Diceros bicornis minor: one gene and its partners. The protein of the gene in region 1 purifies or fractionates together with the protein of each later gene. This does not show direct contact. Links are inferred from orthologs where the notes say so. Each region holds a gene or a part of one and is shown on either strand. Other genes may lie near its edges.

The links.
Region 2: the proteins of RPA2 (region 1) and HLTF purify together in Homo sapiens (affinity purification with mass spectrometry, with the first as the bait; 3 studies listed by BioGRID). This does not show direct contact. The link is inferred for Diceros bicornis minor from reciprocal best matches to the Homo sapiens genes RPA2 and HLTF.
Region 3: the proteins of RPA2 (region 1) and CDK7 purify together in Homo sapiens (affinity purification with mass spectrometry; 3 studies listed by BioGRID and IntAct, with this or other methods). This does not show direct contact. The link is inferred for Diceros bicornis minor from reciprocal best matches to the Homo sapiens genes RPA2 and CDK7.
Region 4: the proteins of RPA2 (region 1) and RAD52 purify together in Homo sapiens (affinity purification with western blotting; 3 studies listed by BioGRID and IntAct, with this or other methods). This does not show direct contact. The link is inferred for Diceros bicornis minor from reciprocal best matches to the Homo sapiens genes RPA2 and RAD52.

What each region holds. Positions count from the first base shown.
Region 1 is NC_080752.1:43,399,586-43,406,549, forward strand, and holds the start of RPA2 (replication protein A 32 kDa subunit), read right to left. Parts: upstream 3,015-6,964; 5' UTR 2,898-3,014; coding exon 2,888-2,897; intron 2,635-2,887; coding exon 2,528-2,634; intron 1-2,527. UniProt on the Homo sapiens protein: As part of the heterotrimeric replication protein A complex (RPA/RP-A), binds and stabilizes single-stranded DNA intermediates that form during DNA replication or upon DNA stress.
Region 2 is NC_080741.1:5,867,455-5,874,503, forward strand, and holds the start of HLTF (helicase-like transcription factor), read left to right. Parts: upstream 1-4,043; 5' UTR 4,044-4,081; coding exon 4,082-4,104; intron 4,105-5,158; coding exon 5,159-5,366; intron 5,367-7,049. UniProt on the Homo sapiens protein: Has both helicase and E3 ubiquitin ligase activities. Possesses intrinsic ATP-dependent nucleosome-remodeling activity; This activity may be required for transcriptional activation or repression of specific target promoters.
Region 3 is NC_080759.1:8,285,447-8,292,867, reverse strand, and holds the start of CDK7 (cyclin-dependent kinase 7), read left to right. Parts: upstream 1-4,399; 5' UTR 4,400-4,498; coding exon 4,499-4,564; intron 4,565-4,919; coding exon 4,920-4,979; intron 4,980-7,421. UniProt on the Homo sapiens protein: Serine/threonine kinase involved in cell cycle control and in RNA polymerase II-mediated RNA transcription. Cyclin-dependent kinases (CDKs) are activated by the binding to a cyclin and mediate the progression through the cell cycle.
Region 4 is NC_080756.1:59,530,198-59,537,774, reverse strand, and holds the start of RAD52 (DNA repair protein RAD52 homolog), read left to right. Parts: upstream 1-4,575; 5' UTR 4,576-4,666; intron 4,667-4,966; exon of another isoform or gene 4,967-5,999; intron 6,000-7,577. UniProt on the Homo sapiens protein: Involved in double-stranded break repair. Plays a central role in genetic recombination and DNA repair by promoting the annealing of complementary single-stranded DNA and by stimulation of the RAD51 recombinase.

The DNA of each region.
Region 1 (6,964 bases):
AGGCAGCAGCCACACTTGGGGCTTAAGATTATGGCTCTACCACTCAGGAGCAATGTGTTCTCAGTCACATTTCTCAACTCATCTGTACCTCAGTTTCCTCATCTGTAAAACTAGGAATGATAAAATCATTATGAAAATTAAATATACGGTGAAATACCTAGAATACTACCCAGTACATTGTATGTACTCAATAAATGTTAGTAATTATTATGTCAGCTATTGACCCTCACTCTTTATATCTTCAATAGCTTTTAATAAGGATATGAAGGAATCAACTATGTTTTTAAATTTTACTTTATGGTATTTTATATGTGAAGTTATATGATATATTAGTATTTACAGATTTGAAATTTGCTGAGGTCCCATGTTTTAGCTCTCATTCTCTACTATATGTTATGTTTTCACCTATCACAGGTGAGATTTTCATCATATTTTCAGCATAAGAAAACTAAGAACCACTATGGTTAACAGGAGCAAGAACAATGGCTTTGGAGCCAGACAGTCCTATAGACCTGTGTTCAAATCCCAGCTCCACTGCTCTGGACACACCACCACCTCTCTGTAAAATAAGGATATCCACCTTTCAAATTGTAAACAAAACATATCATGTATATAAAAATGCTAATGCCAATCTCTACATGTAGTATGTATTCAACAAATATTACTCCTCAGGTAAAAAAGTTAGATATAATGATTGAGGTGTTAGCAATACCTTCAAATTCATCTCAAATCACAGATATTTCTTTTTTTTTTTAATGAGCACCTATTATGTGCCAGGAACTGATTGCAAGGAGTTCCTAGTTTGTTCCAAAAAGATTCACAGGGAATGTACCAACACAAATATGTTTAATTTTGAAAAAGATTATTTTCTAGCTGACTATGAACACAGGCTACTGATAGTACTGTATGAAACCATCATTTTTATAGGTAAAAAATGGTCAGTATTGGAAATTTCACAAGGTTCAGTAAAATATAACAGGTTTATAGTCCATAGGAAACATTTTAGATAGGGCATTTATCTAACTTACCATGGAAAAGGCACTAGATTTAAAAACAAAAAGATCTGAGTTTGAGTCTCCAGTTTATAACCATCATCATCTGAAAAGCTGTCTTAATACACTGCCCAAGCTAGGGATTCTGAGACAAAAATTCTAACAACAGGAAGGAAGAAGGGAGAAAAGATGAGAATCAATCATTTATCTTTTGTTTTCTCCTTCCTCTTTCTTCCTCCTCAAGGAAGACAAAGTTAGAGGACTGGAGTCCCCTCTGGTCTTCCTGAGAAAAAGAAAACTACAATAGACAGAAGCTGCTCACCAGATTTTGGATCTGCTCAGCATTGTGTGTGCCCCGTCTGGTTCCAGTTACTTAGCAGCCATCTGAGCTTAAGTAGTCCCTTAATCTCCCTGAGCCTCTGTTGTGCAATGCAGTAAACAATCAACGCCTTATGGGATTATATGAAATAATTTATATGAAAAATATAAAGCAACATCCAAATGTATGGGAACTATCAATGAATTCTTTCCCACCAGCACACGCCCCTGAATTAACAGTTCAGGTAAAAGCTTATCAACCTGTACACAAAACACAGAACCTGCTAATACTGAATCTTAACACCATATCTGATTGACACCCAAAGAGACGACGAATCAACCCTGTATTTAAAGGATGCGATCAACAGCAGTTGTTAAATGCAAACTCATTTCTGCAAGACTGAACACCAAGCATTCGGACAGGTTTTTCCAGATCACTATCCTATACATTACCTTATTTATCACTTCTCAGAAACACCCTGTGATAGAAGTAGTACCGGTACCATTACCAGATGAGCAAAACCAAGGGCCACAGGGTTCTAGGGGCTTCACTAAGCTCACAATGCCAGTCAAAACGCAAAGTTGATTCTGGAGACTATGTATTCTGGCTCCAACGCTCGTGTTCTTTTTATTTCTTTGTTTTATTTTCGTGTTCTCTTTAATAAAAATATCTGGGACCATTTACTGAAAGCGACTGTACCACAGGCATTTTATATATATTAACTCTCACAACAACCTTGTAAGGTATGTATTATTAACCACATTTAGTAGGTACAAAACTGACTCCCAAGAAAGTTAAGAAATTTGTCCAGTGACACCCTGTAAGTCGAGTGTCAGAACCACAGAATGTAGATCTAGTGGACTTCCAAGACCATGCTCTTTCGACTGCTTTTTTATCACTCACTACATTTAATAAATAAAATTTGAATACTCGAAGAATGTAAAACAGGCGATTAATACAAGTCCAGTTTTTCCACAAGACTGATTAGCTATATTGGTAAATTCCAAAATAAAGCCAAGTTAACAGTGGATGCAAAATTAGGGGGAGATTTCGTTTTTCAAACTTACACCACTTAATTATGAGATTCGATAAGACAATAATTGATAATTATCTAAGCAGTTCATGTTTAACGCCCTTCGCGCCTAAATTTTCCCTCGTGGATGAGTTCGGAGGTTCAGGACAGGATAAAATGGAACAAAATACTCTTTCAACTTACTGATTTCTTTTCAGCCTGAGAAGGTGTCGGCGATCCAAAGCCCCCAGGGGACTGTGTGTAGCCGCCGGCTCCCCCATAGGTGGAGCTGCCATAGCTTTCATAGCCACCTGATTTTAAATAACAGTATTAGTATCTGGGCTGCTTTCCATGCTTCTGAAAACTCCGCAGGTCCCCTCAGGCTTCACGCCTCCCAGCCACTCCCAGCACCTCCCTAACTTTCCCCACCCCCTTCCCCTGGGCCCTACACGCCCCCACCTGCAGCTCCCGCGCCTCCCCCACCCCCGCCACACGCCTCTCCGACCCCCGCCCTTTTGCGATGCCCTTCTTGCGACTCTCATCCTCCTCCGCCCCACTCATTACTATTCCACATCTTGATCACGACTCCCTCAGGAAAGAGGCCCAGAACGTTCCGATCTGGTGGGTTCGCCGGACACCTCAGAACCCTGTCGCAGCCGCAGCGCTGTTATCTACTCTTCGCTGGCGCCACAAACACCTTCCCGCGAATGACGAAGCCAATCAGCGCCCCGAACGCTTCTCGCTTCAGCCAATCAATGCTCACGAATCCTACGCTTTTTCCGGTCTTCTCCGGTCACGCTCCTGAAAACGCGCACTCTGCTCCCAATGGGGCCGGAAGCCTGTGCGGCCATCTTTACTAAGGGCAAAACACGCTGCGCCACCGGAAGCAAGGTGCGGCGAGACGCTGACAGGGCGGTGTCTCAAGAAAACAACCAATCAACATAATACTTCCACACTTGGGACATGTAATCCCACCCCTGTCCAGTGAGCGACATCTTACATCACTTCCTTCGGTGGGCGCCCTCCTGTTCCCGCCAAACTCTCTCCAATCAGACGACGCCTTAATCTAAGGGCCTGTAGTAGAATTCCTGCTTCGGCGTCTCCGCCCCGCAGTCGCGCGGTATTTGCGCATCCCAGGAACACAGTGTGCCTCTTGGGATTGCTTGTTCTTTCCCGTAAGGAGCCAGGTTCTCTTCTCGTATCTCCATCCGCTGGTCCTGATTTTCCCTAATAAGGCCGTAAGAAACCTTGACTCTTTTCCCCAGATGGCCTTTCAAAAGATCTGTGGATTCCCCTCACACCTCCCCGCCGCGGTCCCCTCGCAGTCTAATCCAGCTGCGCATCCTCCGTTCCTTCAACTATTCTTCATATACCATGGTTGTGCCTTTCCTATAGAGAGTAGAAGACGTCTGTTGGTTCCTTGCTTTAAATACTGCTACAGTAGATTGTTAGATCCCCCTTCTCCACATTTATTTATTAAAAAATATTTATTGGGGCCCGCCAGGTGACGCAAGTGGTTAAGTGCACGCCCTGCGCTGCGGCTGCCCAGGGTTTGCTGGTTCGGATCCCGGGCGCGCACCGACGCACCGGTTGGCAAGCCATGCTGTGGTGGTGTCCCATATAAAGTGGGGGAAGATGGGCATGGATGTTAGCCCAGGGCCAGTCTTCCTCAGCAAAAAGAGGAGGACTGTCAGATGTTAGCTCAGGGCTGATCTTCCTCACACACACACACACACACACACACACACACACAGACAAATTTATTGATGCCTCTTTTGTTCCAAGTTCCGTGCTGGCCACTGGGATTCAATTGTAAATAAGATAGACATGGTCCCTGGGCTCCTGGTCCATTTTATTTTCTTTTTCTAAAGCTGCGAGCACTATCTTAAACATTTATTAACTCAATCCTGTGAGGTAAGTAAGTACAGTTATTATCCCCATTTTACAGATGGGGAAACGGAGGCACAGAGAGGCTGTTGTGGGAATTGGTGTTCAAGCCCAGGAAGTCTGATTCCATCAACCAAGGTGGTTACTGTACCCTCTTGAACATCCTGGAATAGGGTCACAAACTCAAAGGACAAGTTGGGTCAGGCAGGAAAACTGTAAATGTATTGGGTTGGATAACAGGGAAAATAATTTTACTTTTTTCTCCACAGTAAGGAAAACAACCACACAAATGTAATGGTAAATAGTAATTGATGTAGAGAACGTGGACCCAGGTCATCCAAGTTTTTTTAGCAGATGCTGGAAATCTGGATTTTTATGTAAAGATTTCTGAATTTTAAGTGTTTATAAGTAAATTTTAAAACACTATGTAGGCCAAAGAAAAGATAACCTGTGGACCAGATGTTGCTTGTGTGCCATCTCTTTCCTATGTAAATTGTGTAAGCCTCCAGATCATGGCTGAGAAATAAACAAGATACAGCCGAGGACAAAAGCCTGAGGCTAACCAAGATGACGTTATTATACTAAGCCAAGGGGGTTGAAATTTACATAGTCTGACAAGTAAGAGCATTTTATGACCTATAGGATAAAATGATTTAAGACTATTCTGGGAAATTTAAGATGTGGGTTCACTTGGGTTAATTGGCTTCATTTGGGATTCAAATAGTTATAAATTCAGCTGTGAGGATCATACATTTAAAAATAAATCAAATGAAATGAAAATAACTGCAAAACATCAAAAAATTTTCCACATCTTTTCAAGAGCTTGATGATCTGATAAGTTGAGCAGAGGGCACAGTTCTCAATCAACACTAAAATAATTGGTATTTACCTTTTGTGTGTGTGTGTGTGGTAGTACATTCATCTCTCAAGGTTTAGTTTCGTCAAGTTGAAGTCTTCCTGTCACACGATGGGATTTCCAAGAAGTCTTCCATTTCCAGTCCACGTTGGCTGCTATCAGGAAAACCCACAGCAAGACTGAGAGGAGGAGAAATCACCCTTTAAAAACAATCTAGTGACACACCCATTAGGATGGCTACAATTAAAAAAGCAGAAAACACCAAGTGTTGACAAGGATGTGGAGAAATTGGAACCCTTGTGCACTGTTAGTGGGAATGTAAAATGGTGCAGCCGCTATGGAAAATAGTATGATGGTTCCTCAAAAAATTAAAAATAGAATTACCATATGATCCAGCAGTTCAATTTCTGGGTATATACTCCAAAGAATTGAAAGCAGGGACTCAGATACTTGTACACCCATGTTCATAGCAGCGTTATTCACAATAGCTAAAAGGTGGAAGCAACCCAAGTATTCATTGACAGGTGAATGGATAAACAAAATGTGGTGTGGACATACAGTGGAATAATATTCAATCTTAAAGAGGAAGGAGATTCTGACGTATACTACAACATGGATGAAACTTGAAGATATATATATATATTTTAATAATTTTTATTTATTTATTTTTTTCCCCCAAAGCCCCAGTAGATAGTTGTATGTCATAGCTGCACATCCTTCTAGTTGCTGTATGTGGGACGCGGCCTCAGCATGGCCGGAGAAGCGGTGCGCCGGTGCGCGCCGGAGATCCGGACCTGGGCTGTCAGCAGCGGAGCTGCGCACTTAACCACTAAGCCACGGAGCCGGCCCTAACCTTGAAGATATTATGCTAAGTGAAATAAACCAGTCACAAAAGGACAGATATTGTATGATTCCACTTATATGAGATACCTAGAATAGTCAAATTCATAGAGACAGAAAGTAGAATAGTGGTTGCCAGGGACTGGGGGGAGAGAGAGAATGGGGAGTTATTGTTTTCTGGGTACAGAGTTTCAGTTTGGGAAGATGAAAAAGTTCTGGAGATGGATAGCGGTGATGGTTGCACAACAACATGAATGTAGTTAATGCTACTGAACTGTGCACATAAAATGGTTAAAATGGCAAATTTTATGTAATGTGTATTTTACCACAATTAAAAAAAACTTTTAAATCCACTTTGGTGTTTATTGAGTACATTCCACATGCCAGACACATGCATTATCTCTGTTAAATGCTTAATATGCATTATCTCCCAATGTTTTTGACTTGCCATTTTAACCTCCAAGATTGTTTTGCCTCCACTTTATAAATACATATATTTTAATCAGAACTGTCCCAACACTGATAAAATTTCACTTAGACTTAATTCCCTGTTCAACTTTCTGCACAGTGAGATTTAGCCATTTCTAATTTTTTCCATTTTTAATTTTGCTGAAATCATTTTTATGTGAATTAATTCTCTCCTGGGCAAACTTTACAATGAGGGTTTAATTCATCATTCAAATTTGATCCATACCAAATTTTACTGATTTTTCACATCTGCCACTGTAGTTTTATGGGTGCTCATTATTGCGATCAAGTACAATTTGATTCAGGAGATTTTTTTTTGCAGTTTTCCATGTTATACACCAGATGGGATTTTCTAAACTTTTTTTTTTTGTCTAAGATAATTTTAGTAGGTGGAGTAGCCATTTCAGTTTTATATTGTATTGATTATTTCTACCAGTAATAATCATCATGAATTGGATAATATTAGAGAGGCTTTTATATGTGACACAGAACACTCACAATATTTGTTGAATGCTCGATTTATTCAACTCATAGCTAATAAAACTTGAAATCAATCTTTTCAGTATTTAAATGTTGTTTACAAATTTAAT
Region 2 (7,049 bases), on another chromosome or scaffold:
AAGTTGAAAAACTTCATAATTTCTTTACTACAATTTAGTTTATATCTTTTATTATTTTCTTATAGCAAAAAAGCAATATATGTTCAATACAAGAACATTTTACATGCATATAAGCAAAAAGAAGAGAATGAAAATCCCCTAATTCAACTGGCTAGAGTTATCTGTTATAAAAATCTAGGTATAGGGGCCAGCCAGTGGCTTAGTGGTTGGGTTTGTGCACTCTGCTTCGCTGGCCTGGGGTTTGCAGGTTAGGATCCTGGCAGCGGACCTATGCACGGCTTATCAAGCCATGCTGTGGCCGCATCCCACATAAAATGGAGGAAGATGGGCACAGATGTTAGTTCAGGCCCAATCTTCCTCAGCAAAAAGAGGAGGATTGGCAACAGATGTTAGCTCAGGGCTAATCTTCCTTACACACACACACAAAAATCTATGTGTAAATTCATTGAGATGTATGTGTTTATGGATGTATAGCATGTATAATTTCAACCACTAACTCCATTTGCAAAGATAAATCTTTATTTTTTTTATTGAACTTAATTTGTTTTAAACCTTAGTTCGCCTAATGGGAAGTAACTTAATTTAGTCACTTCCAGGTTGTTCAGTCATTTTAAGATTTAGTCAATTAAATGCGGGTTTCTTACCCTTTAGGAGGTTTATGTTTGGACTCCATTTATCTTCTGCAGGCACTCACTGCTGATATAACTCATCCTACCTCATCTTTAGGCACCAGCCTCCTGCTTAACCTTGCTGGAACCATGATCTAGTGAAGGCCTCCAGCCTTCACAGTGATGGACAGCCACTGGGGACTCTCGTAGGATTTCAAAAGGCTACCCTTGGGCCCCTTAACGGAACCACCTCACTAGCCTTTACTCTTACTGCCCTGGTACATTTCTGATCTCTGAGGCTCTCGTTAAGATCTATAGAATCTTGAGGCTACTCTCTGGAAAATGAGGCATAGCTTTCCTTTCTTATGGGATCTCCAGAAACTTTGCTAGGCTGTCTACCATCGCTCTCTTTGTGGGGATTGGCCCAGGGTGATGGCATTCCAGTTCCTTTCCCTAAGATCCACTTAGAGATTTACTCTGTGAACTCTCCTATGTCATTCCTGAAAATTCTCCTCTTCCATTGAACTTTGTCTCTATCTCATTTTGGGGGAGTGAAGCAAACAAACAAACTTTTACAACATCATATATTCTTCCAGAATCTATTATTTATGACATAAATTTAGAAGTTTTTGTGTTGAGGCCAGACTTTTGGAAATTCATATTCTTAAAGTTATTTTCTTTGCTAAGGGCTTCAAAATTCTATTTTGTTAACAAAGTATAAAAGAACATTTTTTGAGATAATTGTGAAAATTCAAGTATGAACTAGTTATTAGAAGACACCAATGTCTATTATTAATTTTGTTGGGTGTAAGAATAGCCTTACAGTTATGTATGAAAATATTCATAATTTTTATAGAAGTTAGTGAAGGCCATTGTAAGCAGGGTGGGTTGGGCGGTGACAGGAGTGGGAGGTAGGGGACAGATTATAAAGAGCCACACTTGCCTTTCTTTGATTTCACGCTCATAGCATCAAACAGGGGAGTAACATGACTAATTAAAAGGTGGGGAGGATGAAAAAGTATATTTGTGTCTGGGAGGTGGGTAGCTGGAGGAATTTTTTATTCCTTGCTCTCCTCTAGCATCCATATCCACATCCATCAGCAAACCCGGTTGGTTCTCTAAGCTTCATCACCTCCCCATTTCAAGTGACCCTCATCTCTTACCTGGACACAATCGTTTCCTAATTATCAACTATCAGTCTCTCTGCTTCTATTCTTGTTCCCTATAATCCATTCTCCACAGAGCTGCCAGAGTGAATTTTTTAAAGCCTAATTCAGATGGTCCTTCTCCTGCTTAAAACATTTAATGGCTTTCTATTGCATTTAAAATAAAATACAGGGCTGGCCCCATGGCTTAGCGGTTAAGTGCCCGTGCTCCGCTACTGGCGGCCCGGGTTCGGATCCCGGGCGCGCACCGACGCACCGCTTCTCCGGCCATGCTGAGGCCGCGTCCCACATACAGCAACTAGAAGGACGTGCAGCTATGACATACAACTATCTACTGGGGCTTTGGGGGAAAAAAATAAAAAATAGATATATAAAAAAATAAAATAAAATACAAACTCGACCACAGACTGTAAGTTTCTATGTAATCTTCCTCACTATCCTCTTTGTGCCACTCTCCTCCTGACACATGGGTCCAACACACAAGCCACTGTACAGTTCCCATTCTTTTTCAGTTACAAATGTTCATTTCTCAGAAAACATTATCCAGTTTGATAGTTATGAACTTGTAACTGTTGTAACATTTAATCAAACTAGTACAAACTGGAGTTCATTTTTAAAAATAAAAATAGTAAAGAATGATTAAGTAAATGTTTTCAAGTTCAACTGCTAGATCTGAGATGTAAAATAGTGACAACACGGACAAAAATGTTGACTTTAAATAGCAAATTTTTACTTCATTCTATCCGCATTCTTGAACCATGGGACAGTCATTACTCATAGGTCTTAAGTCTTGAAAGAGTCACGTTTACCTGTATTTTCATATTTGGAATTTTATCCTTCAGTCTAATGAGCATAGCTTCTTCATTAATTTTACACACAAAACATTTTCAATCTGGGCATTTTCTGGTGTATTTTCCGAGAGGTTATTTAGAATCTGGCACACCAAAAATTGAACTGTATTGCCGTTTGCTTCATAATACTTCCAGAAGTAAAATAATTAAAATAATTTGAAATGCCACTGTCTTCACCTTCGTCACCACCTCCTTCTGTCTAGTGCAATGAAGTAACAAATTGCTGCGGATTCGATTTCGCATCCCGCTGCGGGTCCACGCGTACAGATCACGGCAGCTGAAGAGGAGGAACAGACGCCTCTCGAAACCCTGTTGCACTGCGCACCTCGCACTGCCGCCGGGAGTGGAAATGGGCCGCTCCGCCCCGGGCACGTGTCAGCGTCGCTCACAGCCACGGCCGCCCTTGCTCTGGGACGCGCCCGTCTCCGGGGACCGCTCCGCGTGCTCCCCGGCGCCGCCGCCGCGCCGGGCACGGCCGCTCAGTCGGCAGCCGCCCCTTCCCGGCTCCCGGGCCGCACGGACGGCCGTGGCCGACCGACGCCAGCCGAGCGCTGCTCCCCTCCTCAGACCCTCAGAGGCCGGCCGCGGAGGCCTGGGCGCCCGGGCGGCCCCTGAGGGCAGCACGTGCCGGGGCAGCGCTCCCCAGCAGCGTTAGTGCGCTGGCGTCGCAGTTTGCGGCTTCGCTAGAAATGAAAAATTTCCTTGAAAAAAAGAGGGCGGGGGGACTCCATAAATCTGAACGCCAAGGAAGCTCCTCTGAACTCGGTGTGTCTCGTGGATTCGCTGGCGAAAATGAGTATTTTGACGCCAGCTGCCCGGGTTCACCACAGGAAATGAAGGTGGTAGCTGCGGGCTCGCAAGCCAGCGGAAGACCCTATCACATGTCACATCAGATGAGGAGAAAATTAGAGGCGAGCTGAGGTAGGGCTGAAGAACGAGGCTGAGGCTTGGGGCTCGGCGGAAGCAGCCGACAGGAGAGTCGTCTCCCTCTGTTTGAGGCAGGGACTCGCACAGAACACGCAGACCCGCGGGCGCAGCGGTCGCACTCCCGCACTCCCGCGCCTTTCCCGCGCGCCCATCTTGGGGGCGGGGAAGAACCCGGATGGAACCGCCGGTGCAGCCGGGACCCCCCACGGTCTTTGAATCTGTGCGCGGGGCGTAGTTGCCCTCCGTTCCGTGCTCTGATTGGTTCGTCTCCGTAGGTTCCCTTCTCGCGATTGGACGTCCCCCGTGCCAGTCACAAAGCGCCGCTGGGCTCCCAGATTGTTGCTGGAAGGAGACGGCGTCGACGTCTGACTGGGCTCGCGGCGTCTCGCCTCCCGCTAGCTCGTCCATCCTCCGGCGCCCCAAACCGGTCCTCGGCTTCTCGCCCGCTAGGCCCGGAAGGAGGCGTGTCGAGGCGGCTCGAGAACGATCGCGGGCGCCCCGGCGTTGCCCTCGTCACCCACGCAGCGCCATGTCCTCCTGGATGTTCAAGAGGTGAAGGGGGCGGGGTGGGGCGCCGAGGGTAACGGCCCGGCGGCGTCCCCACATGAACCTGACCTTCCCCGCGTTCGCTCCGCGGCCCGGTGCTGCTGGGGCTCGCAGCCGCGGGAGCGAGAGCAGCCGAGTGTGGGCTGGCGAGGGGAGGCTCCTCGGCGGCCGGTGCGGGGCCGTGGGGAGGTCAGTCAGGGGCGGGGCCTGGGCCCCTCAGCCGCGTCTCCACCTGCGCCTTATGCGACGAGCGGCCGGCGGATGCCCGTGCGCTGGGCGCTGGCCCGGTAGAGGGCCGGGGGCGGGCCCCTTCCCCGCTGGCGGCCGGTCGTGCGCGCGCTCGGACGTGCGGGGGGGTGTTTGCGGAGGAGTCGGAGAGGGGCGCGCGACGGGGCGGAACAGCTTCTCTCGGTTCCGAGGCGGCGGAAGCGACCCCGGACTCTTCGGGGTCCAGGTTGGCTCGCCTGCCCGTTCCTGAGACCGTTGTCCGCAGCGGGATTGCGGTTCCCCTTAAACGGGCGCGGGTGGGGGGCTTGGGGCCGACTTCGCTCGGTGCGGTGGTGGGATGCGTGAGTGGAACGACCGTGCTGCTCGGAGGGAATCGCCGCCGTGGGTGCTGGCTGTGTCGTCAGCAGGGACGGGCTCGGCTGCAGGTGTGAAAGTGGTCCTGCATTTGCAAGTCTCTTCTCGCGCAGCCCCTCATGACGTTTTGGCGTGTAACTGAAGTTGCAGACGTCGCGTACGTCTCAGCTTCGGTAGACGATCGTCGCTAGGAGAGAGACTTGGGAACCCTTGCTGGGGTTCTCGTTTTGAATCCCCGTGGGTGGAGAGGCGTCGCTGAACGGGTGGGGCTACTGGAAACCCTCCGCTCGCTCCAGTTCCCGCTTTCACCGGGATAACTCGCTGTAAGTCTCGATGCAGCGGTTCCCACGTAAGGTGTAATTTGTTGACATAAAGTGTGGTAAGATAATTGGCCGATAAATATGGTATGGTCTTTGAGAAAAATTTGGTTAAATATTGTGTTATTTTAGTGTGTCCTTTTTTTTTTTTTTTTTGACAGAGATCCTGTTTGGAAGTACTTGCAGACTGTCCAATATGGAGTCCCCGGAAATTTTCCACGCCTGTCATATCCAACTTTCTTTCCCCGTTTTGAATTCCAAGATATTATTCCTCCAGATGACTTCCTGACTAGTGATGAAGAGCTCGATTCAGTTTTATTTGGAACTCTGCGAGGTCATGTAGTTGGACTACGCTATTACACAGGAGTAGTGAGTATGACATTAGATGTTAAGTTAAAATGTGATGTGTTTATGATATTAGCCTAGAAAATAAGAATTAGAAGATGACATGTGCAGTTAATATTTATTTTACTTTAAGTAATTGAGATACATCTGGGCAAGAGGAAACAGACACCTAATGATTGATATTCTTTTATGTTTACATCATGCTTACAATATGCAAAGCACTTTTTCCTGTATGGTCTCATTAGATCACTGCAGTGACTCTGAGGTAGATTAGGACGTCTTCTATCCCCCTCCTGTACCTGAAGAACTAAAGCTCAGGCGGGTTAAATAATTTGCCCAGAAAGCACAGAGACTGGTACATTTGCAAAATAACTTCCAAGTCAGTCTGTTGCTTTCTCCTCTTCTACCCCTCAGCACATTTCTACACTTTAGTATTTTTAATTTAGGAGGTCAACTCCTATTAGATAAGAGAATTGTCTATTTTTAGGTCCTTTTTTCTTTCTGTAGTAAGACTACCTGTCTTGCAGTTTTTCTTCCTATCTTTCTCTATGTATATTCTCTGCGGTGTGTGTGTGTGCATGAGAGAGACCTAGAGACTGAGAGACCTGATCAATAGTTGTCTTTGTATAGTTGTCTAGTATGCCTCTGTGTATCTGGATCATATACCTCTAGTTTTATTTTTTTAATTTATTATGAAAAATTTCAAACATACATGAGTAGAATAATACAGTAAACTCCCATATACCTATGATCCAGATTCAGCAGTTAAGTTTTTGTGCGTTTGCTTCATCACTTTTTCTTTTGTTCTAAAAATCCTGACCGTATCACTCTATACCCATGTAATTCAGTTTGTATCTCTAAAAAATTTCAAACATTTTTACGTGTAATTTTCATACTAAAAATTAGTAATAATTCCTTGTTACATCTAATAGCTAATCCATAATCAGTTTTCTTGATTGTTTAAAAATATCTTTTTATAGTTCATTTTTTTTCGAATCAGGATCAAAAGAGAGTTCATGTATTACCTTTAGTTGTTACATCCCACAAGTCACCCGCTCCCCTGCTTGTTTCATGTCATTGATTTGTTGCAGAAACTACATCTGTTGTTTGATGGGAAGTTCTGGATTTGTCAGTTCTTCCATTCCCCCATATTATTCTCATGTTGAAGCTTTCTCAAATCATGTTTTGGTTGTCTGAAGCAGGAGATTCCTTGGGAAAGAATTTCACGATCTGAATTTGTTTAGTCTTTCGTTCTCCTCTATTTTCTTTGTATTGGAGCTTCTCAAATCATTTTGTGATTGTCTGAAATGTGTTGTCTAGGAGATTCCTTAGGAAGGAACAATATTTCCTGAGCTTTTGTATGTTTCTAATTGTGATGTTTATACTTGAAGGGAGATTTGGCTGAATATAAAATCCTTGACCATATTTTCTCTACATGATATCTTGATGCTGCTGGTAAGAATTCTGATGCCAATATGATTTCTCTCCCATATAAGTGAATTGGAATTTTTTTGCCTAGATGAGTAAAGGATATTTTTCCTTATCTTGAAAGTCCAATAGTTTCATTAGTGTACATCTTAGTATTGACTGTTCTGTAACTTTATTTTCTTCTATTTCAGAAAGTTTTCTTTAATTATAGTTTTAAATGTTTGCTTTGGTCCAAAGCTTGTTTTTCTTCTTCAGGGACTCCATTCTACTGTCTCTATA
Region 3 (7,421 bases), on another chromosome or scaffold:
AATTTATGTATCTTGGTCAGCTTCTCCACAAGCTTACCTAATGGTTTATATACTTTATACTTATTAAAGTATACATTTTTAAATGTTAGCCTATTAATTTACTCTTGATTATCAAGTATTACCAGTGTTGAACTATTAAAAGCACACAATCTCTCGTAAACTATCACAGGTTTCCCATAATTTCACTTTTCTTTCAGTTTCTGTTTAGATATGGAAAGAATTTATCAGGCAAAATTGCTGCTTTCGGGAAGTGCTTTTCCCGAAATTGGAGGAGGATCAGTGAAATAATGACTCCATTATTTGCTCTTAATTCTCTTAACGTTTTTCATTCACAAATTTACTGCAGTATAATTGGCTTAATAAGCGTATCCTACTGTAAATGATACAAATATAGGCAAAGTAAAACAAGTGGCTTTGTGGTAATAAGACTGGGGTGTTAACACAAAGATTATTTGTAACCTATATTCAGAAACAAATGTCAATGGAAAATGGAAAATAAATTAAGAAATCAAGTGAATATAGCATAGGAATAAATGTTTGAGTAGAAATTGCAATTTATTATGTTTTGAAGAGTGTTAAGATAGTCTTGTTCTTTGGTTTATTTTACTTTTTGATTGAGATCATGTGTGCAAATCCTGATAACCATTAATTTTCTCAAATTTACTGTCTGAAAGCCTCATAAAATCAACCTAAATATTTACCTTATTAAGGCAATTTATGAAACTTTATTAATAGAGTCTTCCTGTGCCAAAGGTATGTATTATTGTCAAAGTAAAGCCTAACAAAGCTCAATAAATTCTCTTCCACACCTTTAATGATTTCTAAAATATGCTTTAAAGAAGTCATCCCTAAAAATAAGAGTAGATCATGAGCAATAGACAGAGTAGAACTGTTGTCAAGTACGTTTCTACATTTGCCCAGTTCCCTATGGGTTAATGTTTACTGTGTTTTTGTTTTTGTTTTTGTTTTTACTATTTTAGAGTTGATCTTCTCTTCTAAATTCTTTTTTCTGGCCTAGTATAAGCATTGGCAAACTTGAATATGAGGTAGGGGTTTGGTGCCGGCAATAAGCTGTTCTGGTGACTCATGAAAAATACATGATTTATGATTTTGTTTTTTAAGAAATTTATTTGGGAAATTTTCTTAAAAACTAGCACTATTCTCATTTTTCTCTTAGCTTTCTCATTTCAGTAAAAAGAAGCCTAGGACATTTTTTTTGCTTTCAGAAACAGAGTGGGTTCAAGTAATTAAGACTAGCTTGAGGGGCCAGCCCATGGCTTAGTGGTTAAATGCGCGCACTCTGCTGCAGGCCGCCCGGGTTTGGATCCCGGGTGCACACCGATGCACCGCTTGTCAGGCCATGCTGTGGCGGCATCCCATATAAAGTAGAGGAAGATGGGCACAGATGTTAGCCCAGGGCCAGTCTTCCTCAGCAAAAAGAGGAGGATTGGCATGGATGTTACCTCAGGGCTGACCTTTCTCCCCCCCCAAAAAAACGACTGGCTTGAGCAATACTATGGGCCAGCAGTTAGAAAGCCCAATACTGGAACTGCTTGCAGGGCACCTTACTACAGCTGCTGCCATGAAAGTCACAAAGAAAAAATATATCACTTTTACAGAATTTGTGAGTACAGGTATGGCAAAAAGGCATGTCAGAGGGAATTGCTGTCACAGGATGAGTTCCCAAGGAGGATGGTGTCATAGAAAGAATTCTGGCTAGGCTTAGAGTAAATAGCCTGTATTTTCATTTAGAGGTTAAGCACTTAAATATATGTAACCATTAGCAAATTGCTTAATTTGTCCAAGTTTCAGTTTTCCTCTCCGGTACTATACAGTGTGACAGGCAGGACCAAATTAGTGTATTGCCCATTACTTTGTAACAAATCACCCCCAAGCTTAGTGACTACAAACAACAATAATCAATTAATAGCTCATGGTTTCTCTGGGTCAGGAATTCAGGCAGACACAGTTCTGTTCAGTGTCTCTCATGAGGTTGCAATCAGATGCCAACTGGGGCTGCAGTTATCTAAAGGCTTGACTGGGGCTGGACGATCTACCTCCAAGGTCGCTCACTCACGTGGCTGGCAGGTTGATGCTGGCTGTTGGTAGGAGGCCTCAGTTCCTCTCCACAGGGCTGTCTGAGTTAATTCATGACATGATGGGCTGACTTCTCCCCAGAGCAAATGATCTAAGCATGCAAGGCAGAAGCAGCAATGCCATTTATGGTCTAGACTCAGAAGCTGCAGACACTGTCTTCTGCCATATTTGATTGGTCACACAGAACAGCCTGTTTTGTTGTGGGAGGAGACTACACAAGTGCATTAATACCAGAAAGCAAGAATCACTGGGGCCATCTTGGAAGCTGGCTACTACCAATGTGTGAAAGTGCTTTGTAAACTGTAAAATGCTATACAGATGCTGGATGGTATTTTATATATACAATGATCTAATGAACCCAGAATATCACCTAAACACTGCCTTTGTTACCCTATTTAAAATGTCCCCAAACAGGAATTTACTTGTCAGCAGCATGGTATAATGGAGTGATTATCAATTCATATGGCATGGCACACTTGGGAACCTCAAGCCTCACAGGTGTACCATCAAATTTAGCTCATTGTTTAGCTTATTTCTACTACAAGTGAGGTTAGATTACTGTTACAGTGATGTCTTTCAGAAGGAACTTTGACCCAAGTCATGTGACACCATGTATCATTAGGTATGACTTGCCACAGTTAAGAGATATAAGTGGTAAAAGATGGTGTGTTTTCTGCAATGTATGAGAATTTTTCCCATGAACATATTAGAGCTCAATAAAGACCCAAGTAGTGACAAAGAGCTGGAAGATAAGCAATAGTAGTTATGTAATGGCTAACATAAAATGAGCACTGTCAGACACTATTCTAAGGGTTTTTTGAAGTGTGAGGTCATTTAAGCCTTGCAGCAACACTATGAGTAGTTCCTATTAGGAGGAAACTAGGAACAGCAAGGTTAAATAATTTGCCCAAGTTACACATCTAGTGATTAAATATTTGTAAGGCCAGTATTCAAATGCAAGTATCTAGATCCAGAGCAAGGACTCAACCTTTACTCTATTACCTTGATCAAATTGTGTCTTGGTATTCCGATGCCTTCCCAACATACCTCTGAAAATCAGGATTCTCAATTCTTAGAAACATCAAATGCTCCAGAGCTCAAAACCTTGGAATTATCCTGTTTCTTCCCAACAACCCATATCCAGACTGTTAGCAAATCCTATTGGCTAGAAGCCAAACATGTAGCACTTAATATAGCCAACTGGATTATTACAATAATTCTCTAACAGGCCTTCTTGTTTTTCCTTGCCCTTCTAAGTCTATAGTTTAGTCTCTCACAACAGTCAGAGTGAACCTTTTAAAACATTGAGTCAGATCATATCACTTGTCTGCTCAAAACTCTGCAGTGGCTTTTCAGTGATATCTTTCTTGTACCACCCTGTTTAAAACTGCAAACCCTACTATCTCTATGCCCTTTCCCGGCTTTATTATGTCTATAGCACTTATCACTATGTATCAACACATATTTTACTTGTTTGTTTTCTCCTCTCATTGGAAGTCAGGGATCTTTGTCTTTTGGCCCGCTGACTTCTCAGAGTCTACAACAGAGCCTGGCACACAGTAAACAATATATATTCATTGAATAAATGAATTAATGTGTTTAAATTTTGATTTGTATGAAAATTTATGACAAAGTTGGGTACTGATCACCAGTTAACATTTAATTGAGCACTTACTCTGTCTAAACTTTCTGCATGTCTCATTTAATCCTCACAACCACCTATGATGTAGTCTATTATTATTTTCATTTTACAGAGTAGAAAACTGAAGACCATATGGTGTGTTTCAAAGCACAAAATTCTTGAGCTGACTTGGATTTTGTTTCCCTGGGTGTGCTTCTTCATAAAGGGAGTGGGCTAAGAATGCCTCTTGACCAGCCCTTAAGAACTGGGCACTCCTCTAAATAATCTGACATTGCGGGGCTAAGCGTTCTTAGTAACCGTGGCGACAGGACGCCCTCGAGCAACAACTAGAAAGCGAGATCAGGGACAAGGCCAAGCTTTCCACACTCATACACACCTATTAAAGCCCGAACTCAGAACATCGTATTAGAACGGTGACCCGTCCCCAGTCGTGAAGAAAATGTCTAAGTTACAGCGGTAACAGGGCGACACAGACATCCATCGCCGAAAACACGCCGCTTCCGGCACCAACAGGCAACCACGTGACAGCGCGGGGCGCATAGCAGCAAACCAGCGAGCCCGGCCTCGCACAGCCTCCGTAGGGCGGGCTCTGGCTGGACTTATTTAATGTCACTCACGCCCATCCCGGATGTGGGGGCGGAGCTAATAAAGCGTCGGAACCAGTGAACGGAAGTGGCTGTTGGGGGATTAAAGGTAGCTTTAAATTCCTGCTGTGTTCAGAACTCGGCCCTTTCAGCTGGAGTCGGCTTCGCGCGACGGATGGCTGTGGACGTGAAGTCGCGAGCAAAGCGTTATGAAAAACTGGACTTCCTCGGGGAGGGACAGGTGAGACTCTGGGGCGGGATTCGGAGGGCCCTGAGCAGAGAGCGCCGAGCCGCCTCACGCTGGCAGGCTGAAGTGGAAGCCAGAGGACTGGCCTGGCTGCTCGTTCCCTTTGGGCGAGGCTGCCCAGGCCCCCTGCCGCCCCGCGGTACGCCCGCAGGTGAGCCCCTGAGCGGCCCCCTCCTTTCCGCAGAGCAGGCTGGAACGGGACGTGGACTGCCCCACCACGTTTCAGGCCGCCGCGAGTCGGCTCCGAGAACCCTGGTTCTTTGCTTCGCCCAAATCTAAAAAAGTAAAAAGGCAACCACAAACAGAAAAACTCCCGCAGACTTAACGTTATTCCTGTTTTTCTCTCTAGTTTGCCACGGTTTATAAGGCCAGAGACAAGAACACCAACCAAATTGTCGCCATTAAGAAAGTGAGTTTACAGTGTGTTGTTTTCCTTGAGTCTTTTTGAAGACGTCTGTATGTGTGAGCTGATGGATGGCCGTTTTACTGCTCTTCACCGTGCTCTGCTAATGAGGAGTTACCATGTCACTTTCAGAGAAAATAGAATTTATTAGCCTCTTATGTTCCAAGGTGGAACTCGGGTTGAACTAGTTTTTGTTCCAATAATTGTAATTGAAAAGAAGAGGAAGCTATAAGTTATGATCGCTCTGTAAACTCAGATGTTGGCAAAGGGGACGAGTACTGCCTATCTGTTGGGTCCTCAGAGCTATTTAATATGATCTTTCCAGGTCACTATTTCTGCCTCACCTGCATCCACGGTGTGTATCATATCTGTATTTTCTGTGTAAAGATTTACCATGAAAGGCTTTCACCAGCATTAACACCATTGATGTGCTGCGTTTTTAAAAATGATTTAAGGAGCTTTCTTACTTGCATTCATTCAAGAAACTTCGGTCATATTTAGCTAACTTTCTATATGCCAAGCACTTTCACTTACATTTTTTCATTTAATCCCCAAAACAACCTTGTGAAGTAGGTAAAATAAATATCCCTGTTTTATAGTCGAGGTACCTGAGGCTAGAGAGATTAGGTGACTTGTCAAGATGACACAGGTAGTAATTGCTAAAGCTGGGCTTTAAATCCAGGTGTCCTGCTGCCAGGTTGCTTGCTGTTTCCGCATACTCTTGAAATCAATAACCCTTTCAAGAAGAGGCTGTTTTTCTCACATCTCAAGGTCTGTTGGTGGGGTAGGTAACCTCCACCTTCCTATTGTTCCTGTTGCTGCTTTGAATCTGTTTCTCCTTCAGATTCCCTACGTCCTTTGAAGCATATTGCCCTCATTCAGTTAACACCTGGCTCCTTCTCTTCGTCTCCACAATTATTCCTGACATTGTTTTTTCACTTTCTCTAACTTCTTTCATGGCGTTGTTTTCCAGCTTATGTTCTATAATCCAGTGCTATAGCTACTATAGCTACTCCCTTGTGCAACGCTTAACTCTCCTGACCCTTTCTAAAGTTACCTTTTCGACTCTACCCCCGGTTCACTATATTCTAGTCGCATTGACCTTTCTGTCCCTTGAGCTCATTAACTTCATTCCAGTCCCAGGATCACTGCATTTGCCTTGCTTTGTGGTTAGCATATTTTTCCTCTAAAACGTGGCATGGCTGATTCCTTTATCATTTAGGTTTCACTCAAATGTCTCCCCCACAGAGAGGCCTTCGCTGGTGGCTCTAGCTAAAACAGGTGTGCCTCCCTCCTTCCCTAGTGTTCTATGCCATATTTCTCTGTTATCTTCATAGCATTTATCAAAATCTTAAATCTTATCTATGAGTTTATTGTCTATTTACTTAGGACTGTACATTTATAGACACTCATTAAAAATATATTTACTTGACTGACTGATACAATCTTTTCAAGCTGTTGGCACATTTTCTGTAGTTGTTTGAAAGTCCTAGTAGGTTTTTTTGTTTGCTTGCTTTTAATATTAATTAGGATTTAGAATCCATCCTGTTTCTCTGTGATAGACTTTTACACTTTGAAGGTGACTCATGGTGGAATCTTCTTTTACGTTTAATTTTTATTTCAAATAATACATCTTTGTGGTTTTAAAAGTCAGTTAAGAGGCCAAGGCTTTTTAACATGCCTGACTCTTCTACTCCTGTTTTTCAGTCCTTGGAGCAATGACTTTCAATTCCTATAACTGTTTAATGTGGTATTTACCTCTATTTCTTTAAGTAATATGCTTGTATCGTTATTTCTTGAGTGGTTCCCACCCCTCATGCCCCCTGTCCCCTCGTTTTAGACATTATCTGTTTCCTACTATAAACATTGAGGATTTGGTGCTTGTGGACCTTCTGCTCCCAACTCTCATAATTTCTGCTCCCGTTCATTTACTAACATTTATGTGTAATTTTACCAAAAAGGAATAATAAGCTATTCTGTGTTCTTTCACCTATTGCATCTTGCTTTTAAAATAGCATTGATCTACCTTATCCTTTCAAACAGATCATATTGAATTTATGTTTTGTAAAAGTTTATTTAACCAATCCCCTATTGCTGGCCTTTTGGAGCGTTTCTCATTTTTCAATATTTGTCTCAAATATATGTATCTCAACAATATATAGTATTGCATACTTTTAAACTTCAAATATAAATGTATAAAATATTTTTCTGCATCTTGTTTTTCTGAATCAACATTATTTCTGAAATCTTGCACATCGATACATGTAGATCTGGTTTAGTCATGCTCACTGATGATTAGATTCTGTTATATGACTACACTAAAATTTGTCTATCCAAACTCTTGTTGGATAGACAAACTGTTTTCTTCAAAGTTTTCCCTTAATACAGCCCTTCTACAGACGTTCCTATGCGTGTGTGAGTTTCTCTAGAAAGTGTATCTATGGTTGA
Region 4 (7,577 bases), on another chromosome or scaffold:
TTTTTTTCTTATAACATATTGTTCTATTAATGAACAAGAATACAATATTTTTTTTTTTTTTTTTTTTTTTTTTTTTTGCTGAGGAATATTCGCCCTGTGCTAACATCCATGCCAATCTTCCTCTGTTTTTTAGTATATGGGCCACCAGCACAGCATCACCATTAACAGAGTGGTGTAGGTCCATGCCTGGGAACCAAACCCAGGCTGCTGGTGTGGAGCACACTGAACTTAACCACTAGGCCACTAGGGCTGGCCCCCAATATCTTCTTATCTGAGAATATTATTTATATTTCCTTTGAATTTTTTTTTCTGTTTACCTTGTCTCTTGGGTTTCTTTACATTTGTTTTTATAGCTTTTACATCAAAGATATTCCTTGTGATCCTTTACTGTCCTCATATTTAAGAACGAGGTGTTAATCATGTCATTGTAAGCTTTTTGAGGGTATGAAAGCTCTCTGATTTGTTTCATTGTAGGCAAGCTTTTAAGAATTATTTTATTTTAATTTAAATTTTTAAAATTGTGACAAAATACATATAATATAAAATTTTCCATCTTAGCCATTTGTTAGTGTACAGCTCAGTAGTGTCAAGTACATTCACATTGTTGTGCAACAAACCTCCAGAACTCTTTTCCTCTTGCAAAACTGAACTCAATATCCATTAAACAACAACTCTCCATTTCCCCTTCCCCAAGCCCCTGGCAACCACTCTTCTGCTTTCTGTCTTTATGAATTTGACTACTTTGAGTAGAGTTTGAGGAGAATTTGACTCTTGTAAGTAGAGTCATACAGTATTTGTCTTTTTGTGATGGGATTAATTTCCTTAGCATGATGTCCTCAAGGTTCATCCATATTGCAGCACAAGTCAGAATTTACTTCCTTTTTAAGGCTGAATCATATTCCATTGCATGTATTTACCACATCTTGTTTATCCAGTCATCTGTCAATGGACGCTAGGATTGCTTTCTCCTTTTGGCTATTGTGTGAATAATGCTGCTATGAACATGGATGTGCAAATATCTCTTCAAGACTTTTCTTTCAATTCTTTTGGGTATATACCTGGAAGTGGAATTGCTGGGTCATATGGTAATTCTGTTTTTAATTTTTTGGGTGTGTGTGAGGAAGATCAGCCCTGTGCTAACATCTGCCAATCCTCCTCTTTTTTTGCAGAGGAAGACTGGCCCTGGGCTAACATCTGTGTGCATCTTCCTCCACTTTATATGGGATGCCGCCACAGCATGGCTTGACAAGCGGTGCATTGGTGGATACCCAGGATCCTGACCGGCGAACCCTGGGCCGCTGCAGCGGAGCACGTGCACTTAACCACTTGCGCCACCGGGCTGGCCCCTGTTTTTGATTTTTTGAAGAACCACCATACTGTTTTCCATAGTGTTTGCACCATTTTACATTCCCATCAACAGTCCACAGGGGTTCCAATTTTTCTACATCCTTGCCAACACTTGGTATTTTCTGTTTTTTAAATAATAGCCATCCTAATGGGTGTGGGCAAGCTGTTTTATGTATATAGTTTTGGACTCTGTTTTTCTACAGAATATCATCTTGAACATTTTTCCACAACAATAGACATTTTTCTAAATGTGATTTCTAGTGGCTGTATTATTGAATAGATTCCATAATGCAGTATTTTAATTTGTTTCCAGTAATTTTTCAGGGATAAATAATGTTGTGCAGAATATTCTTATAAAGAAATCTTTATGTACATCTTTGGTATTTTCCTTAGTTGATAAGGTCCTGGAGGCTGAATTCCTGGATCAGAGGGTATATATTTTTAATACAAATTGCCAGATTGCTTTCCTGAAAGGTTGCATCAGTTTCTATTCCTACTAGCAGCGTGAGAGTATCATCTACACTGAATAGTATCAGACAAAATTATTTCAGTGTATAATCATAAATACAAGAATATACATACAGCAAAAATACACATCAATTGATAACCATGGGTAACTCTGAGAATAGGACTGGTTTGGCTGTGAGTGCTCAAAAAGAGTTAGGTTTACTTTTATTGTTTGTATTTTTCAGTAAGAATGTACATATGTAATATTTGTATAAAAATAAATATTTTAATTTCCTAATTTAAAATGCAAATAGGTGAAATGATACACTTATTTTAATATGTATGCTTTTTACTTTTATTAAAGTTAAATCTTTTTTTCAAATTTATTATATTTCTCCTTTTGTGAAATATCCACTCATTTCAGTTGCCTATTTTTCTTGAGTTGTTAGAACTTTTCCTATATGAACTCTCTTTACCACACATGTTAATAATATTTCCCCCTTTTTCTTGTTTACTTCTAAAGTTTTGTTTATTTTCTATTTCCGGAAGTTTAAAAAGTTTTATGTAGGTAGTTACATTTATCCATCTTTTACTTAACGATTTATTTCTTGGCTTTTATACAGACAATCCCTGACTTAGAATGGTTGGACTTAAAGATTTTTTGACTTTATAATGGTATGAAAGCAATGTACATTCAGCAGAAACAGTACTTTTTTGATTTTTTTCTTTTTTTGGTGAGGAAGATTGGCCCTGAGCTAACATCTGTTGCCAATCTTCCTCTATTTTTTCTACGTGGGACACTGTCACATCATGGCTCGATGACTGGTGTGAAGGGCCGTGCCTGGGATCTGAACCAGCGAACCCCGGGCCACCGAAGCAGAGTGTGCGAACATAACCAGTATGCCACTGGGCCAGCCCCACGAATCCTGAATTTTGATCTTTTCCCAGGCTAGCAATATGCTGCAGGATACTCTCTCCTGATGCTGGGCAGTGGCAGGGGAGCCACAGCTCCCAGTCAGCCACGCGATCACAAGGGTAAACCTACAACCATCCTGCACCCCCACAACCATACTGCTTTTCACTTTCAGTACAGTATTCAATAAATTACATGAGATATTCAACTTTTTATTGTAAAATAGGCTTTGTGTTGGATGATTTTGCCCAACTGTAGGCTAATGTAAGTGTTCCGAGCACTTTTAAGGTAGGTGAGGCTAAGCTATGATGTTCAGTAGGTTAGTGTATTAAATGCATTTTCAACTTATATTTTCAGCTTACCATGGGTTATCTTACCCATCCTAAGTTGAGGAAGATCTGTAACTCAGAAAGCCGTTCTCCCTTCTGAGGTCGGATATTCATCTGTATATTTTTTAGTTTGTTTTATGTGCATCTTTGTGTGTTTAACACTTCACCCTTGAATTCAATTGTAATTTATTTTAGTGTATATTTTGGTCAGGAATGTAATCCAAACAGTTAACTAATTGTACCAACACCATTTTAAAAGCAAACATTCCTTTCTTGGTTGATTTGAAATGCAACCTTTATCAAATAAATTATTTCTGCATTGGGTCTGATTCCAGGCTTTTTACTCAGCTTCCGACGGTGTTACTAAGAAGAGTGAGAAGTCATCCAAGAAATGATTTGCCCTGGATGGAATATTACTGCTCAGACAACGAACCATCTGATTAAAGGGGGTTTATTGAAACAACCAATTTGTAAAACGTAAGAGAATGATTTTGTTGGAGTCCTTAGTACTTAATTTGGGTTTGTGATGACTAAACTTTTTAATCCTGTTTCTGAGCATTGCTAACAGGATATGCAGTCATCACCCAGTTGCAAGGCACGGTTCCAAGGGACATTCTAAAGAAGCACTCCCTTCCCACAAGTCGCCACACATTTCCCTCTGGTCCTAGCTAATGTAACACGCCATCCGGGGATCAGTGGGTGTATGCAGCAGTGGTAGGAGAGAAAGGAGGCTTGGTGAACAAGTATGTCCACATTGCCTTGGTTTTGCTGTGCGTGTCTGGGGTGGAAACTACAGAGCTCTGACAACCATTATTTTTTTTTGTGAGGAAGATCAGCCCTGAGCTAACATTCATGCAAATCCTCCAACCCTCCTCTTTTTTGCTGAGGAAGACTGGCCCTAGGGCTAACATCTGTGCCCATCTTCCTCCACTTATATGGGACGCTGCCACAGCATGGCCTGACAAACGGTGCATTGGTGTACGCCCAGGATCCAAACCTGGGTCGCCAGCAGCAGAGCACGTGCACTTAGCCACTACGCCGCCACCGGGTTGGCCTCTGACAACCATTCTTAATAAGACTTAAAAGCACGGTTTTCCTTTCCTGCAATATCCCTAGTGTGCACCAATAATACCAGGAAGTTCTTCGCCCGCCCCATCACCGCACTCTGACTGGGACTGGGTTTGTGAGGTCCTGTGGGAAGGGGCGAGAGAAGTGGGCCCTAAGAGGCCTTAGATTAAGCCGCATGCACCGGGCGAGCTGGCCGGACCCGCCAGGGGGCAGCAGAGATCTGGGCGGCCGTAGAACTGGAGGCAGGCGTCGGGGAGCCACAGGCAGAGAGAGCGAGGCGGAGACAGCGGCTCCGAACGCAGCGGTCAGCATCGCGCTTCCAGCTTGCTTTACGGCTGTCGAAAGATTGCTTTGCGGCTCCTCTCCCCTTCCGACTTGAATTACGGCTCCCCCCTCCTGTTCTTTTCGCCCCACCCCCGGCTCTCTCTCGATTTGGACCTTCTTCCCAGGGTTCTCTTGTGCTTCGTTCCCAGTTTCCTCTGCGCGGCTGTGGGTAAACTCCATTCCCTTCGCATTTAGTCTAGGGGAGCTGCGTGCGTTCGCCGCGCGCTGCGCGAGGCGCGTAAGTGGGAAGGGAAAGCGGCCCCGCTGGGGTGGTCGGCGCTGGGGTTGTGGAGCGCGGGGCGGCTCGGATCCTGAGTCAGGCGCCGGGGGCGGCGGTTGAGCTCGCCTGCGGTGCCCCCAGAGTGGCCGTGAGACTGGAGGCCTGTGCTGACTAGTCCAGTGGGGGTTCAGGAGCAGGGCTTAACTGCGAGTGGGATTGGGAGGGGCGGGGTGCAGGGGACTTGCGCCGCCACACGGGGCGCACGCACCAGGACCCGCGACGGGGTGAGGGCGGCGTCCCGTTGCTTGGGGCGGTTCCCTGCACGGGCGCCAGACCTTTGCTTGCTGCTTGTTGACAGGCGTGGAGAGCGCTGAAGTTTGTGTCGGTAGCTGATCGGAGTTGGAAGAAGTGGCTGCGGTTGGGCAGGAATTACCCATTTAAAAGGAATTTGACACTCAATTTAGACGCGTATTCAGCCTTTCTAGATGTTTTCAAAAAAGTGGAGATATAGTTCATATACTATTACATTCATACTTTAAAAAAAAATTTTCTCTTCTTTTTACTTTTTGTGAGGAAGATCAGCCCTGAGCTAACAACTGATGCCAATCCTCCTCTTTTTTTTGGCCGAGGAAGCTTGGCCCTGAGCTAACATCCTGCCCATCATCCTCTACTTTATATGCGACGCTGCTGCCACAACATGGTCTGACAAGCGGTGCCTCAGTGCGCACCGGGGATCTGAACCTGCGAACCCCAGGCCGCCAGAGAGGAGCTCGCCCACTTAAGCGTTTGTGTGGTGGGGCCGGCCCCTAATTCATACTTTTAAAGTGAACAATTCAGTGGTTTTTAGTATATTCACAAGGTTGTGCAACCATCACCATTGTCTAATTCCAGAACATTTTTGTCACCCCAAAAAGAAACCCCCAACTCATTAGCAGATACTTCTCGTTTCCCCCTAACCCCAGTCCCACTAATCTACTTTTTGTCTCTATGAATTTGCCACTTCTAGAAATTTCATATAAGTGGAATCATACAGTATTTGTCCTTTTGTGTCTGGCTTATTTCACTTAGCATAATGTTTTCAAGGTTCATCCATGTTGTAGCATGTGTCAGTACTTCACTCCTTTTTATAGCTGAATATTAATATTCCATTGTTGGGATATACCACATTGTGTTTCTCCGTTAATTGATGGGCATTTGGGTTGTTTCCCCTTTTTGACTTCCTAGACCCTTTTAAGGTGTCTACTCAGATGAATTGGATTACATCAAAATTTGAAACTTCTCATCAAAGACAACTCTAAGAAAATGAATAGGCAAGCACTGACACCTATCTGACAAAGGACTGATATCCAAGGTATGTAAAGAACCATTAGGGTTCAAGGCCTGGGACTAATCCTCTGTGGCCTGCCCTACCCTCTGCACCTGTGGCTTCATCTTCAAGTCATTCTTCTTTTTTCATGAAGAGTAGCATGTGTTTACAGCTGGGTAGTTTTATTAGCCCATTTCCTGCCAACAGTGTATGAGAGTTCTAGTTGCTTCACATCCTTGCTAACTTTTGGTGTTGTCAGTCTTTATTTTTAGCCATTCCGCTGGATGTAAAGTGGTATGTTATTAGGTTTTAATTTTAGTCCTTGATTACTCATGATGTTGAGCACTTTTTCTTGTGCTTATTGATATTTTTATATCTTCCTTTGTGAAGTGCCTGATCAAATCTTTTGCCCATGTTTTTTTTTTTAAAGATTTTATTTATTTATTTTTTTCCCCCCAAAGCCCCAGTAGATAGTTGTATGTCACAGCTGCACATCCTTCTAGTTGCTGTATGTGGGACGCGGCCTCAGCATGGCCGGAGAAGCAGTACGTCGGTGCGCGCCCGGGATCCGAACCTGGGCCGCCAGCAGCGGAGCGCGCGCACTTAACCGCTAAGCCATGGGGCCGGCCCTTTTGCCCATTTTAAATTGGATTATTTGTCTTTTTATTATTGAGTTGTAGGGGTTCTTTATATATCCTTTTTATATTATGGATATCAGTCGTTTGTGGTTGGCTATTCATTTTCTTAGAGCTGTTTTTGATAAGCAAAGTTTTACATTTTGATGTTGTCATATTTATCATTTTTTTCTGTTATAGTTATTGCTTTCAGAGTCCTGTCTAAGAAATCTTGGCCACCTCCAGTTTGTGAAAATATACTTCTGTATTTTCTTCTAGAAATTTTATAGTTTTAGCTTTTATGTTTAGGCCTGTGATCCAGCTCTAGTTTTTGTGAATGGTGTGAAAATTATTTTGTGAAAAATATTAAATTTTTTTCCCACATGGATATCCAGTTGTTCCATCATCATTTGTTGAGAGTGCCATTGTATTGCATTGATAACTTTATTGAAATTCAGATGTCTGTATAAATGGCAGTTGATTTCTGGACTCTCTCTTCTGTTCCATTGATCAATCCTTATGTCAGTAACACACTGTTTTAAATATTATAGCTTTATAGTAAGTCTTGGAGTCACATAGTGTAGGCCAACAACTTTGTGGTTATTTTTTAAATTTGATTTGGATAGTTTAGATCATTTGCATTTTCCATATAAATATTAGAATCATCTTACCAGTTTCTACCAAAAAGTCTGGTAGGATTATGATTGGGATGGATTAACATCTTAATAGTATCTAGTCTTCAAATATATGAACATGTATATCTCCCTTTTTATTTAAATCTTCTTTAATTTCTTTTAGTACTGTTTTGCAATTTTCAGTGCAGGGGTCTTACACATCTTTTGCTAAATTTACTCCTCAGTATGTTTTTTTAAGTCTGTGGAAGATGGAGCCATCATTTGCGTTGTTACTCTGTATGTAACATGCCATTTTTCTCTGACTGCTTTCAAGATTTTCTCTTTATTTTGGGTTTTTAGCAGTTTGCCTATGGTGTGTCTAGGTGTGATTTTCT